Linked DNA regions of Canis lupus familiaris. The main gene of each other region encodes a partner of the protein of the gene in region 2 in a complex. Links are inferred from orthologs where the notes say so. Each region holds a gene or a part of one and is shown on either strand. Other genes may lie near its edges.

Evidence for each region. The genes of interacting proteins can lie anywhere in the genome.
Region 1: PPP2R1A (region 2) and STK25 share a complex: the UniProt entries of both Homo sapiens proteins name them as parts of the core of STRIPAK complex. The link is inferred for Canis lupus familiaris from reciprocal best matches to the Homo sapiens genes PPP2R1A and STK25.
Region 3: PPP2R1A (region 2) and STRN share a complex: the UniProt entries of both Homo sapiens proteins name them as parts of the core of STRIPAK complex. The link is inferred for Canis lupus familiaris from reciprocal best matches to the Homo sapiens genes PPP2R1A and STRN.

Annotation. Positions count from the first base shown.
Region 1 is NC_049246.1:51,489,563-51,493,647, reverse strand, and holds the start of STK25 (serine/threonine-protein kinase 25), read left to right. Parts: upstream 1-1,293; intron 1,294-1,529; 5' UTR 1,530-1,543; coding exon of another isoform or gene 1,544-1,615; coding exon 1,616-1,645; intron 1,646-4,085. Other genes in the region: EZH inhibitory protein-like, read right to left, coding at 1,002-1,293, 1,544-1,617. UniProt on the Homo sapiens protein: Oxidant stress-activated serine/threonine kinase that may play a role in the response to environmental stress.
Region 2 is NC_049222.1:105,616,384-105,619,893, forward strand, and holds part of PPP2R1A (serine/threonine-protein phosphatase 2A 65 kDa regulatory subunit A alpha isoform), read right to left. Parts: intron 2,464-3,510; coding exon 2,363-2,463; intron 1-2,362. UniProt on the Homo sapiens protein: The PR65 subunit of protein phosphatase 2A serves as a scaffolding molecule to coordinate the assembly of the catalytic subunit and a variable regulatory B subunit.
Region 3 is NC_049238.1:29,519,651-29,523,886, forward strand, and holds the start of STRN (striatin), read right to left. Parts: upstream 2,804-4,236; 5' UTR 2,695-2,803; coding exon 2,461-2,694; intron 1-2,460. UniProt on the Homo sapiens protein: Calmodulin-binding scaffolding protein which is the center of the striatin-interacting phosphatase and kinase (STRIPAK) complexes.

The sequences.
Region 1 (4,085 bases), on a different chromosome or scaffold from region 2:
GGCAGAGTCTCCAGCAGGCTCCCTGCTGAGCGCGGCTCCATCCCGCTGACACCAAGGCCTGAGCTGGGGCCAACAGTCGGTCGCTCAACCCACGGAGGCCCCAGGTGCCCCAGCATAGAGTTTTTGTTTTTTATTCTTATTTTTTAAAGAGTTTATTTATTCGTGAGAGAGAGAGGGGGAGAGGCAGGCCCCGTGCAGGGAGCCCGACGTGGGGCTCGATCCGGTCTCCGGGTCACACCGGGGCTGAAGGCGGCGCTGAACGCTGGGCCCCCCGGGCTGCATGGTTTTGAAGGCTCGTGTTGTAACGCGTGTCAGAACTCAGTTCCTTTTCTGTTTCATCGCATTTCGCGTAACTTACAACACGCAAACGATTACCCGCGTCAGCAGTTCTGAGGACTGAGCGCCCGGCGTCCAGGGCCCTCGCCTCGCGGAGAAGCCGCGGCGCCGATCGCTGACCCCCAGGCCCGGTGCCCGCCCCCGCCCCGGTCCCGGCTCCCTGCAAAGCCGACCCCGCGGGGCTTCCCCACCTGCGCCGTGGCGTCGCCCGCCCTGTCCGCTGGTCTCCCCCAGCCCGTCCCCAGGCCGTCCCGCGGCTCCAGGCCACAGGGTCCCTCCTTCCCCAGGCTGGTGCTCCCCGGCCTGCGCGCAGCACCGCTCGCTCCTCGCTCCTCCATCAGCCGCCGCGGAGATGCCCGGGCCGCGCGGCCGGGCAGGGCCTGGGAACAGGCGGCACCTCCCAAGGCGGCGGAGGGGACGGAAGGGAGGAGGGGGGTCGGGTGGGGGTCGCGGGGCGGGGGGAGGGGAGGGGCCGCGGGAGGACGCTCGGCCGGGGGCCGCCCCAACCCCGGGCTGCACGCCCCGCCCCGGCCCCGCCCCGGCCCCGCCCGCCCCCGGCCCCGCCCCGCCCCGCGGCCTGCTGGGAGACGTGGTCCGCGGCCGCTCAGGAAGCCCGACTCCGAGTCCCGGCGAGCCCCGCGACACCGCCCTGCCGCGAGGCTTACCGGGACTTGTAGTCCAGCGCCCGCGGGCACCGGGACGCGCGGCGAGCGGCGGAACTCGGTGTCCCAGAGACCCCCGCGCTGGGCCACGACGTCGCGCGCCCTCTCGCCGTCGCCGCCGCTGGGCTTTCTCCGGCCGCCGCCGTCACTGCCGCTGCTCCGGGGCTGGAGGGCCCGGGCGTCCCCGGGCGCGAGGAGGCTGCGGGTGGGAGCCTTCGCGGGCGCTGAGGAGCGGGCCGGGGGAGGCCGGGATGGAGCCCCCCGGAGGTGGGCGCGCTGCCGGGTGGGCCCGCGCCTGGGGCGGTTGGGCGGGGGCCGGGCGGTGGTCGGCGGCGGGGCGGGCGGCGGGGGCCGGGGGCGAGCGGGGGGCGCCGGGGCCGGGGCGGGGCTCGCGGGGGGCGGGGCCGGGGTCGGGGCGGGGGGCGGGGCCTGCCGGGGGCTCGCGGGGGGCGGCGGGGTCGGGGCGGGGTCGGGGCCGGGGTCGGGTCGGGGCGGGGCGTGGGCGTGGGCGTGAGCGCGCGGTCCTTGCAGCGGCCTAGGCGGGCGGCCGGGCTCCGGAGCGGCGGGCGGGGTCTCGGGCCGCCGGAGGCCGCGGACGGTCGGAGGGCGTCGCGGACATGGCTCACCTGCGGGGATTCGCCAACCAGGTAGGAGGCCGGGCCGGGCCGGGCGGGGCGGGCGGGGCGGGCGGGGCCGGGCGCGCCCCGGAGGACGGCGGCTCGCGGGGCCGGGCGAGGCGGGTCCTGCCTGTGCCCGAGCCGCCCCCCGGCCTGGAGCCGCGCCTCCACCTGCTCCCGGTGCCGGTGCCGCGAGCTGCGACGCCCCGGGAAGGACACCCGCCGCCCGCGCCGCCGGCCCCGAGCAGACGCGCCCGTTTGGAAAAGAATCATCGGGTTGAAGGAGACGAGCTCGCTTCCGTGGCGGCCGCTCCCCGCCTGGGCCGCGGCGACCCGCTGCCCTGCCCCGTGACCAGAAGCGCGGCCGGCCCTGCCCGCAGCCCGGGGCCGCCCGGAACCAAGCACCGCGTCTTGCCGAAGCGGACAAGCTCTCCTAGCCCGAGAGGAAAGAGGGCCGCTGGCGGAGGCGCTCCCGGGCCCCAGAAGCAGCCGTCGGGGCGAGGGGTCTCTGTGCCCGGGCTGACCGCGGTGGGCGGCCGGGCCACCCCTGCTGCGGGGCGCAGGGCTGGGGGCGCGGGGCAGGGCCCCAAGGGGGAAGCCGTCGTCCTTTAGAGGCCAGCACACGTGGCCTTTGTCCGGGGCGGGAAGCCTGATTTTCTCAAGACACTTGTGCTGTGACCCCGTGGGGCGCCCCTGCCTAGCCCGAGGGTCCCCGCCAGCTGGTTCCCGCCCTGCCTGCTGCCTGGTGGTGGGAGTGGCCTCGCTCCCTTCATCTTGTGGGGCCACAGACCTGGCCTGCTGCAGGGCTGGGGGACAAGGGTCTCAAGTCTCAGGTCACTCAAGCCTTGAGGGATCGTCCAGACCGTGTGCTGTGCGTGGCCTAGAAAAGCAGCCGAGACGCAGGAGCTACGCACCTTCAGCCAGGGGGCTGGAGCGGGTGGTCCCTGTGATGTGCTTGTGCTATCGGGCCTCGGGGCGAGGGTTGGGGTCGAGGCCTGGAGCTGCGGCTCAGGGCTCCGCGTGTGCTCCCCCGGGCCAGGGGGGTCCAAGCGCCCCGTGTGGGGTCTCCCTGGTTGGGCTGTCGTGGTGAACCGACCCAGCTCTGGGCCCTCCTGGACAGTGACATAGTGTCCTCAGCAGGGCTGACGGGAGCAGAGGCACGGGACGCGTCGCCCACGGAGGCCTGAGGGTGCAGAGGGGACCCCAAGGCACAGCGGTGCTGACTGGTGCTGCCAGGTTTTCTTAGGACAGAGAACACAGCGCCACGGCACCAGCTGGACCACAATCCCTGGGCAGCCCCCACGCCCACGCCTGGGGCGCTGAACACATGGGCCCAGGTGGCCAGGTCCCCTGTGACGTCCAGGACTGAGCAGGGGATCGCGAGCTTCCCCCCAGAGGCGGAGGGCGCTCTCCCGGCAGACGGCCTTTTCCTGCTGCCCAGGAGTTGCTGGCAGACCCCAGCCAGGCCTCTGAGGTCGGGGTGGGTGCTAATCGTGGGATCCACGTCCCCGTCCGCACACTGCAGACAGCCAAGCAGCTGTGACTCACGGCCACGTGCCTAAGTGGCCTTGGGTTTCTCCAGAGCGTGTGCAGCAGGAACAGGTGCGTGGTGGGTGGTCCCCACGCCCGCTCCGGGCTGGTCTCGGCTCTGCTGAGGACAGAAGACAGCGCCTCACCGGCCCGGCGGGAGGCCCGCACGTCCATCGGCCCTGCCCCGAAGGCTGTGCTGCAGCACAGCCCACGGCCCGTGACCCGGAGTCCCAGCCGGGAGTCCCCGCCCCCGGCTCCCGCAGGTGCCCGGCGCGGGCGGCCCTCAGTCCTCTGCCTGGAGCTCAGCCGCAGTGGGGAAGGGGCCGTGCGTGCCGCGTGGGCCTGCGCACCGTGGGCGAGGCCGCTGGAGTCCCCGAGCTCTGGCTGGCGGGGAGCCGAGGGGGCTCGTGTGCGTGGAGGACCCTCCTCGGCGCTGTGGGCACCCAGCAACCCCGGGCGGGCCTTCCCTCACAGGGCCCACGGCAGTCGGGGCCGATGGGGCTCGGGGAGCTGGATTTGATTCCTTTTCACGCGTGGCTGCTTTAGACGCCCTCCTGTGACAGGCGCGTGGGCTGTGGGAGCAGGGCCTTCTGGCGGAGGCGCCTCCTGCGGGATGGGAGTCGCGGAGCCTCAGGAAGGCCCTTCTGCCCCCGTCTGGGCAGGACGCCAGGCCCCAGCCTCGGCTCCCACACTCGGCCCCGGGCCTCGGCCCTGCGGGGCTGGGGGCTCCCGGGGACCCCGTGGGTTGCCTCAGGGCCAGTAGTGGCCTGCGCCCTGGAGCCCGGGGCATCAGCGCCCCTCTCGGAGACCCCGTGGAGCTCTGTTCCCCGTGTCCCGGTGCCCAGGCCGCAGGGTGCTCGCTGGGCCTCAGTTTCCATCTGAGGCCCGAGTGCGGTAGTCTCCCGAGATCCAGGGTTAAGCACCCGGAAAGCCTTGGTTT
Region 2 (3,510 bases):
ACAGGATCACCCAGAAGACCAGGCTCAGCACAAATAAAAAAAATCAGTGTGGGGCCCAGAAAGATGCAGGTCTAGGAAACTTCAAGTACTGCTTTCCCACAATGAAAAGCTATACTGGGGGGCCTCTCTATGAAGGAGAGAGGGTAGAGTTCTCAAACCCAGAGAAGATACAGGGGAGGGGGGAGGTGTGAACCTCCTAAAATCACTGTACTTTTAGGAGAGGCTCTAGAGTTTTCATCAGATATTCAAAGGGATCCACAATTCCAAAAGGGTTAAAAGTTGTGGATACAGAATCAATCCTTGTGCTGTAGCTACATGGATCCCTATGAAATTAACTCCATTTCACCTCTACTGAGAACAAGGGCTGGGATTGGCTCTGACACACCTCTGGGTTCCCAAGGCCCATAGCTGGTACTCATGTTTGTGGAATGAACAAACTGCACAGTAGCCATTTTCCATTTCTCTTTGTCAAAATCCAGATCCACTGCCACCTCCTCCAGGAAGCCTTCACTGACAGCTCCCCCATCCCATCTGAAACAGGTGAAGGGCTTCCTCCAGGTTCTAAGGTCCCCCAGCTTCTCTCTTATCCAGCTCTAATCAGCCTGTAGAGCAACTGAGAGCCCCATGGGAGGGTAGTAGAAAGGAGCAGCAGTGGTTAAGAGGCAGGGGACTGGGTTCAAATCCTGACGGTCTCTTCTCAGCTCAGTCAATTCTCGTAAACCAGACCTTGAGCCTGTTTCCTCATCTGTGAACTGGGGCTGGTACGAGTATGTATATCACAGGGTCACTGAGGGACATGACAGGTGACTGTGTGGAAGGTACCTACAGGTACCAAGGAGCACTAGCATTCGGACCTGGGACCTGGCCTCTGGGTTTCCAGTGCTCCCTGGACCAGGGCCCTCAGGATGTGTCTGCCAGCTGTTGTGAACATCATGAACACCAGCCCCAGAGGCCTTGTGACTCTCCCTCAAAGTAAGTGTGGGATGACCCTGACCTTGTAAGGGAAGGACTCCAGGGTTCCAGTCCTGCTCCCCAGCAAGCCTGAGTCTTATACCACCTGAGGGCCCAAGGGACCCTTGTTAAAGCTACAGGATCAGCGTTTTCTGTTCCCAAGTCCTTTGAGGTGCTGCTGAAAGCCACAAATTCTCTCAGAAAAACTGATAAATGTTAGGGCTTGCAGAAAGTTTCATGGGACACACAGGACCCTTTTCAGGCTGGTCCCCAGACCTCATCATGTTCCTTGTGTTAAACAGCCCTAATCTGTGTAAAATGTAGGAAATGATCACATTTGCATACAATTGTCTACGTATACATACACATCAATTATACACGCACACACAGATGAAAGCTGACAGACTAGAATTTAATGACAATTATCCAATTTCTTCAGACCTAATACTGCTTGGAAGAAAAGTTACCATATCTGCTCAAACCCCAAATTCCTCCAATTTTAAGAAGTGCCATTATTTCACACAATGCAAGGAGGAAGAAGGCTGCTAATGAAAAGTGTTAAGGCATCATTAAGCGCAGATGTCAAATATAAAGCTGTATCTTTAGAAACCATGACATACAGAATTATTGGGGCAGGGGTGAGGGGAGGGAAGCAGGTTGTAGCAGTGGCCGCGGGCTCTGAGGAACAATGAAAACCAGGGGACTGGGAAAGCCCTGAGGCTTCTCCTTCCCAGATCACAGGACTGGACTCTTTCCCTGGTGACAATGGAATTCTCCTTTCTCTTCTCACAAATAGCAGTTACTATTAATATCTGACCCATCTTTGTGTCCCTAGCCATCACCAAGCACAGGGGTGCATAGGCAGGCACCTAGAATCCCAACTCTGCTACTGACTGTGAGGCCTTGACCAAGACACTTAACCTCTCAGATGCCCAGTGGCTCATCTACAAAATAGAAATGTCTCTACCCCAAAGGGTGGACATGACTTCAAAACATACAGCTTAATGACACTGGCAGCTAACACCTGATGGTACTTGCCATGTGCCAACGGCTTAAATTAATTTTTTGGGGGGGCTTAAATTAATTATAAAGATGTTTTAATGACTCCCATTTTACGGATGAGTAAAGTTTAACAGAGAGGTTAAGTAACTCTTACAAGTCACACAGCAAAGAAGTGGTAGTACTCAGATGGCTTCCACACCCAGAGCCCTATATGTACAGTGCCAGGTAGGGCCTGGCACTGGTCAGGCATACCCAGCTAACAGGAAGGTAAACAAGTACATCTTTGGTATTGCTATATGAATGCCACTACTAATCTGCTGGATTAAAGAGAATGTCCAAGGCTTGCCTGTTCCTTGAAGGTGACCCCCAAACGGGTGGGCAAGGGGACCTCCCTGCCTCCCAGACTCACCAGCAGGCAGTGGACGTACTCGGGGCCTCCCACCAGCGTGGTGAAGGTTCCCAGCTGTTCCGCCAGGGCCAAGAGGACCTCATCCTCATCGTAGATGGTATCTGGGGAACCAAGACAGACTCTGTTATAGCCCCACCCCAAAGCTGACCCAAGATTCTGGGTAACCCAAGCTGGGAGCAAGCAGGCTCCATTCTGTAAGCACTCAGTCTCTCCACCCTCTACTTGAGCTGGTACACAGATCGGAGATGCAGACTTGGGTCAGGAACAGAGCACCAAAGGCCGCCTTCTGCCCTTCACTAGGTGAGGGACACTGGGGGAGTGAAACCAGTCTGCAAACCCACTTCTGCACCTGCACGCACTTCTCTGAGGGAGAATTACAGAGGAGCACACAAAACCATGCATATAGGCACAGAGCCTGGTCAATGGGGGCTTTTCGCTTTGGTTCAGCTTCTTTCTTCAGCACTGCCCTCTATGCCAAGAATTAATTTTTCTCTTTAGCCTGAGAAATTCTCCATCCTTCTAGACTCAGTTCAGATTTCCTGACCAGACCAGAGCACATCCTTTCTCTACACTCCCCTCAACCCCAAGTCACCTTTATGAGAGTCCTTATATTTGGAGTCCAGGACTGGCTCTTCTCTGTACCCCAGTTTCTGCTAGAGATGAGCACAGTAGTTCAGTCCAGGTGTGCTAAAAGAACGGATGACTATGTAAAGACAGAGCTGCTGAGTCCTAATGCTCAACCCAAAGGCCTTTTTCAACTGCTGACCCATATGGCAGAAGATGCTTCCAGTAGGAACTGCTGACTGCTATGGCAGAAGACGCTAGCATCCCTGGCCTCTATGCTGGCATTTCAACTTTCTGAGATTAAGCCAAGCATACAGCAACCCAGCCAGGCATCCCAGGCCCCCCTGCAGCTGGAATGCCAAGTGACCATGCTCTGGTCAATGCTACTTCTATTCACACGTTCAAGCTCTGAGTCGCTTCCTCACCACCACCCTCTAAGCTCTTGGGGCTGTCATCATCTTCCTCATCTTGGGGTGGTTCTCTGCTCTCTCTTGGCTGAGTGTATGGCCATTCACTTCACCTGTGAGTCTGTTTTCTCACCCTACATCCCAACAGAGCTGTGTGAAACCAAAGTGAAGTGATGT
Region 3 (4,236 bases), on a different chromosome or scaffold from region 2:
CGTTCCTCCACAGATGCTTAAGTTAACCTGAGCGCAAACCAAATATACTGTAAAAATGTAGTGCCTTCAAGGTGATGAGCACCAATGGGAAACCTACTTGAACTTTAACATTTGCCATAAATAACCCGGGAAGTAGCGTGCCCACATGCCTGTGTGTGTGTGTTTAAAACTGAAGAGTAGGGATGCCTGGGTGGCTCAACGGTTGAGCGTCTGCCTTTGGCCCAGGGCCTGATCCTGGATTCCGGGGATCGAGTCCGGGGATAGGGCTCCTTGCATGCAGCCTGCTTCTCTCCCCGCTGCTGTGTCTCAGCCTCTCTTTCTGTGTCTCTCGTGAATAAATAAATAAATAAATAAAATCTTAAAGAAAAAATAAAACTGAAGAGTGACTACAATTAATACCACAGGTAAACTGAAAAGTTAAAATGGAGGAGTGGATGAGGAGCACTGGGAGATCTGACAAGGGGTGAGAGGAGCTGGAAATTCCCAAACCTCTACAAGTAAGAAGAATTATCTTGCTTTTGACCGAATTAGTGTGACTCACCTTCCCTAAACTGGAAATTAAAATTTAAGCAGTCACATACAAAAATCATTCTTCACACCTGAATAATGTCAAAAATTAAAGCCTACCTTTCACACTTTTTTGAAGTCTGAAATCCACAAGCCCATTTACAGAACACATTACTAATAAAGTGAATTACTAATAAATTAGAAAAGGCAGGTAAGTCTGCTTGTTATTTATAAATATATAATATTTATATATTATGGTCACATTTATTTTGAGAAAAATTACAAATATCATAGACTAGATACTGAAGTACCTAACAGTAGAAATAAAAAAGCTGCCAAAGAATATAAACATACAATTGTAGAAATAAAGAAAGAGAAAAAATTTTAATAACTATGGGTCATTGCCTTGATTCATTCAACTCCTCCCAGAGGCCTTCCTTAACGACCACATCTAAAATAAAATAGCTGCCCTATCGCACTCTATTTCCTGTGCCTGATTTATTTTTCTCATCCAAGTTGCCACTAGGTTCAGTATATTATACACTTGCATTTGCTGACTTTGCCTGCCTACTAAAATGTAAGCTCTATGAGGGCAGAGTTGCTGTCAGTTTTGTTAATACCAGGGCCTAGAGGCACACAGCTGGCGCTCAATAAATGTACTGAATAAATAAAAGATGAAACAAGTTCGGAGAGGCCAAAGGATTTCCTCAAGGTCAGTGCTAGCAGCAAGCGCAGCGATTAGGTACTGTAAGTCGGTCTACTCCCTCTTTCCACAGCCACTTCCACTACGCCAAAACACCCTGTTCCAGCACATGATTCTATTTAACAGATTTCTCCTTTTTTTTTAAGTGCCAAAGAAAATACACGTTACCAAAAAAAGTGACACACTGGGTAGCGTTTTAACTTCAAGTGTTTCACCAACCAAAACTATACTCAGATTTCCTAAGCACACAGGATTAGCCAGTAAAACAGAAAGGCAGAGCTACTACTCAGTTAAGTTCCTTGTGAAATTGGTGCATGCCTTGGTAGTTTTAAGAACGAGCCACTGAAACCCACTTAGCAATTCAGAAGGGCCAGTAAACTATCAGCCTCACTTTCTGCTAAGAGCCCACAACAGCTCCTTCCTGGATATACTTTATCTCGCAGATTATGCAAGGGAAATGTAACCAACTTTAGAGTCCCTCTTAGTTCCTTTCAAGGTACAAGCCAATCTCACTAAGCACTGGACATAAAATTAACCCTTGGCAAGTTTCAGATTCCGAGGACAGGAAACCATCCCCGAACCATCACCTGACTGTGATCATCTGGGTCCTTCCATCGAAATCCGTGAACCTGAAATACCTAAAAGGAACGCGGGAGGAGGTAAGGAAGAGGAGAGAGAAAAACATTTCCAGACATCCAAAAAGGACCTGATATTCCTATTGATACTTTGGCCCAACATGAGCTCCTCGCCTCAAGTCAAGGCCCCACGGACACGACTCGGTGCTGTCTTCATCACCTTCTTTCCAGAGACAGGAGCCAACTACCAATACCTTTCGCAAGGAACATCGCTAGACCTAGGATGGGACTCACTGGGGCAGAGGATGATTTGCTCGACGTCTCTCAGAAACTACTGTCAGCCCAATTAGTAAACCGAAAGGGACGACCTGAAATGTGGGACGGCGAGAGAGTTGAAAGGAGACGGAGTTAAGAGTGAGAAGGAGCAGACGGAAAGGAGCGGGGAGGGTAAACAACGCATCGAGGGCGGGAATGGGACGCCGGTCGAGGAAGTGGGGTCAGCGAAAGGCAAAGGTGAAGGGGGTAAAGGGGCGCGGTGGTGGGTGGGCTGGGCGGGAGGCAAAGGGGGAGGGGACGAGCGGGGGGGAGGGGAGGGGGGAAGGGGGAAGGGTCCTGGGCGGGGCGGAAGGCAGCGAAGAGGCGGGATGAGGAGGGCCAGGCCGGGAGGGTCTTTACCTGCAGCTCCGCCCGCTCCACCTCCCACTGGGCTCTCTCCACCTCGAAGCGGGCCCACTCGTGCTGCAGGAAGTGCAGGATCCCGGGGAGGCTGTACTGGGCTCGCGCCGCCCCCGCCGCAGCCGCCCCGTCGCCAGCCGCGGCAGCCTCCGCCAGAGGCCCGAGACTCTTGGCACCGCCGGCGCCCGGGTGGTTGTTGCTGAAGAAGACGCCGGGACCCGCCTGCTCGTCCATGGCGGCCGCAGGAACCCCGGGAGCTGCCCAGGCGCCCAGCAGCGGAGGCAACGGCGGCGGCCAGCAGCGCCTCCTCCTGCCTCCGCCGCTCCCCGCCCACACCCCAGTCAGCAGGGAGCAGCCGCCTGGGCGCGGGGGCCGGCCGAGCCCGGGACGGGCCGGGAAATGGGTCAACTGCGGCGCGCGGGAGGCCCGGGGCTTGCTGGGAAATGTAGTCGCGGGGCGTGGCGGCGGCGAGCGCGGCGGCGGCGGCGGCGGCGGCGGCGGCCTGTGGGGCTGCCCGCGGCTGGGGCGCGGCCGCAGCCCCGCCCCCCCGGGTCCGCCGGGTCCGCCCCTGCGCGCGGCGGGGGGGCAGGGGGGGCAGGGGGGGCGCCCGCCGGCCCGGAGCGCGCGGGTTTCCTCGCCAGTCCCCCCGCCTCCTCGCACGCGGAAGTTCTCAGGCGGCGCGCCCTGTTGCACACACACACACACACGCACACACGGAAGTTGTCGCGCCAAGATACCAGGCTGAGCTGCCCATCTCTCGGGGCTTCCTGGTGGTTCTGCTGAGGAGCAGGCTCGGCGCGGGGCGGGGCTCGGAGGTCCGGCCGCTGGACCGGGGATCGCCCGCTAGCTGGGCTCCGCTCCCCGTGGCTGCGGCCACTCCTCGAGTCTGGATGCCTGCTTACCGCTGTCGCTCCTCTTTCGTTTTCTCTCGGGGGTTCAGACCTGTTGCCTGCTCAGTTTCCACGAATAAGAACTCTAACCACCCCTCTCTCCTGCACCCCCCCACCCCCTTCCAGCTTCTATATTCTGGGTGGCCGGCGCCTCGCCTCTGAAGCCCTGCTCGGCCGCAGTCCCCTTCTCCTGCAGTCTTGCAACAGTCCTGACCCCGGAAAGCTTCCCCTGCCCAAGGCTGTTGTTTCCGTCTCCTTTCGCCTACCTTTTCCCGCGCAGTTCTTACTCAGTCCAACTCAGTAGATATTTGGTTGTCGGTTATTTCTGTCACTGTGGATGTAGAGGTCAATGACACGGTTCCTGTCGTTCAAAGGGAGGTTGCCAGGCACCTGATCAATTCTCACAGTGCTTTAGATCAACGCTCCCCGCTCCCCGCTCCCCGAGAGAACAAAGTCCCCTTCTCTTCTCTGCAACAGTCCTAGGTATCCAGGCGCTTCTCCCTTTTCACTTGTCCCGGTTCCAGGTTCTCCCCTGGTTCACCGGCTTAGCCCCACCAAAGGTGCACCAAAGTCCCTTTCAAGGGTTTCTCTGTTAAGTGTTATCCTCCGAAGCCCCTGAAATTATGTCACGATGAGTTCACGCTGCAAACACAATGAAAGGAAGGCGCCTGGAAAAATTTAACACATAATGAAATGAAGCCCTTATCTTGTCCTCATGATGAGTTATTAGTAATTCTTTTGTTTTGTGGAATGGACTTCTGGAAGACCAGACCTGATGGTTGTGGGGAAAAAAAAATTAAACATTTAGGCTGGTTATGGACATGTCAGGGAAGGACATCCTGTTCCTGTCCTCCCCTCCCCCCATCCCTTCCCATAGCTACTTGTG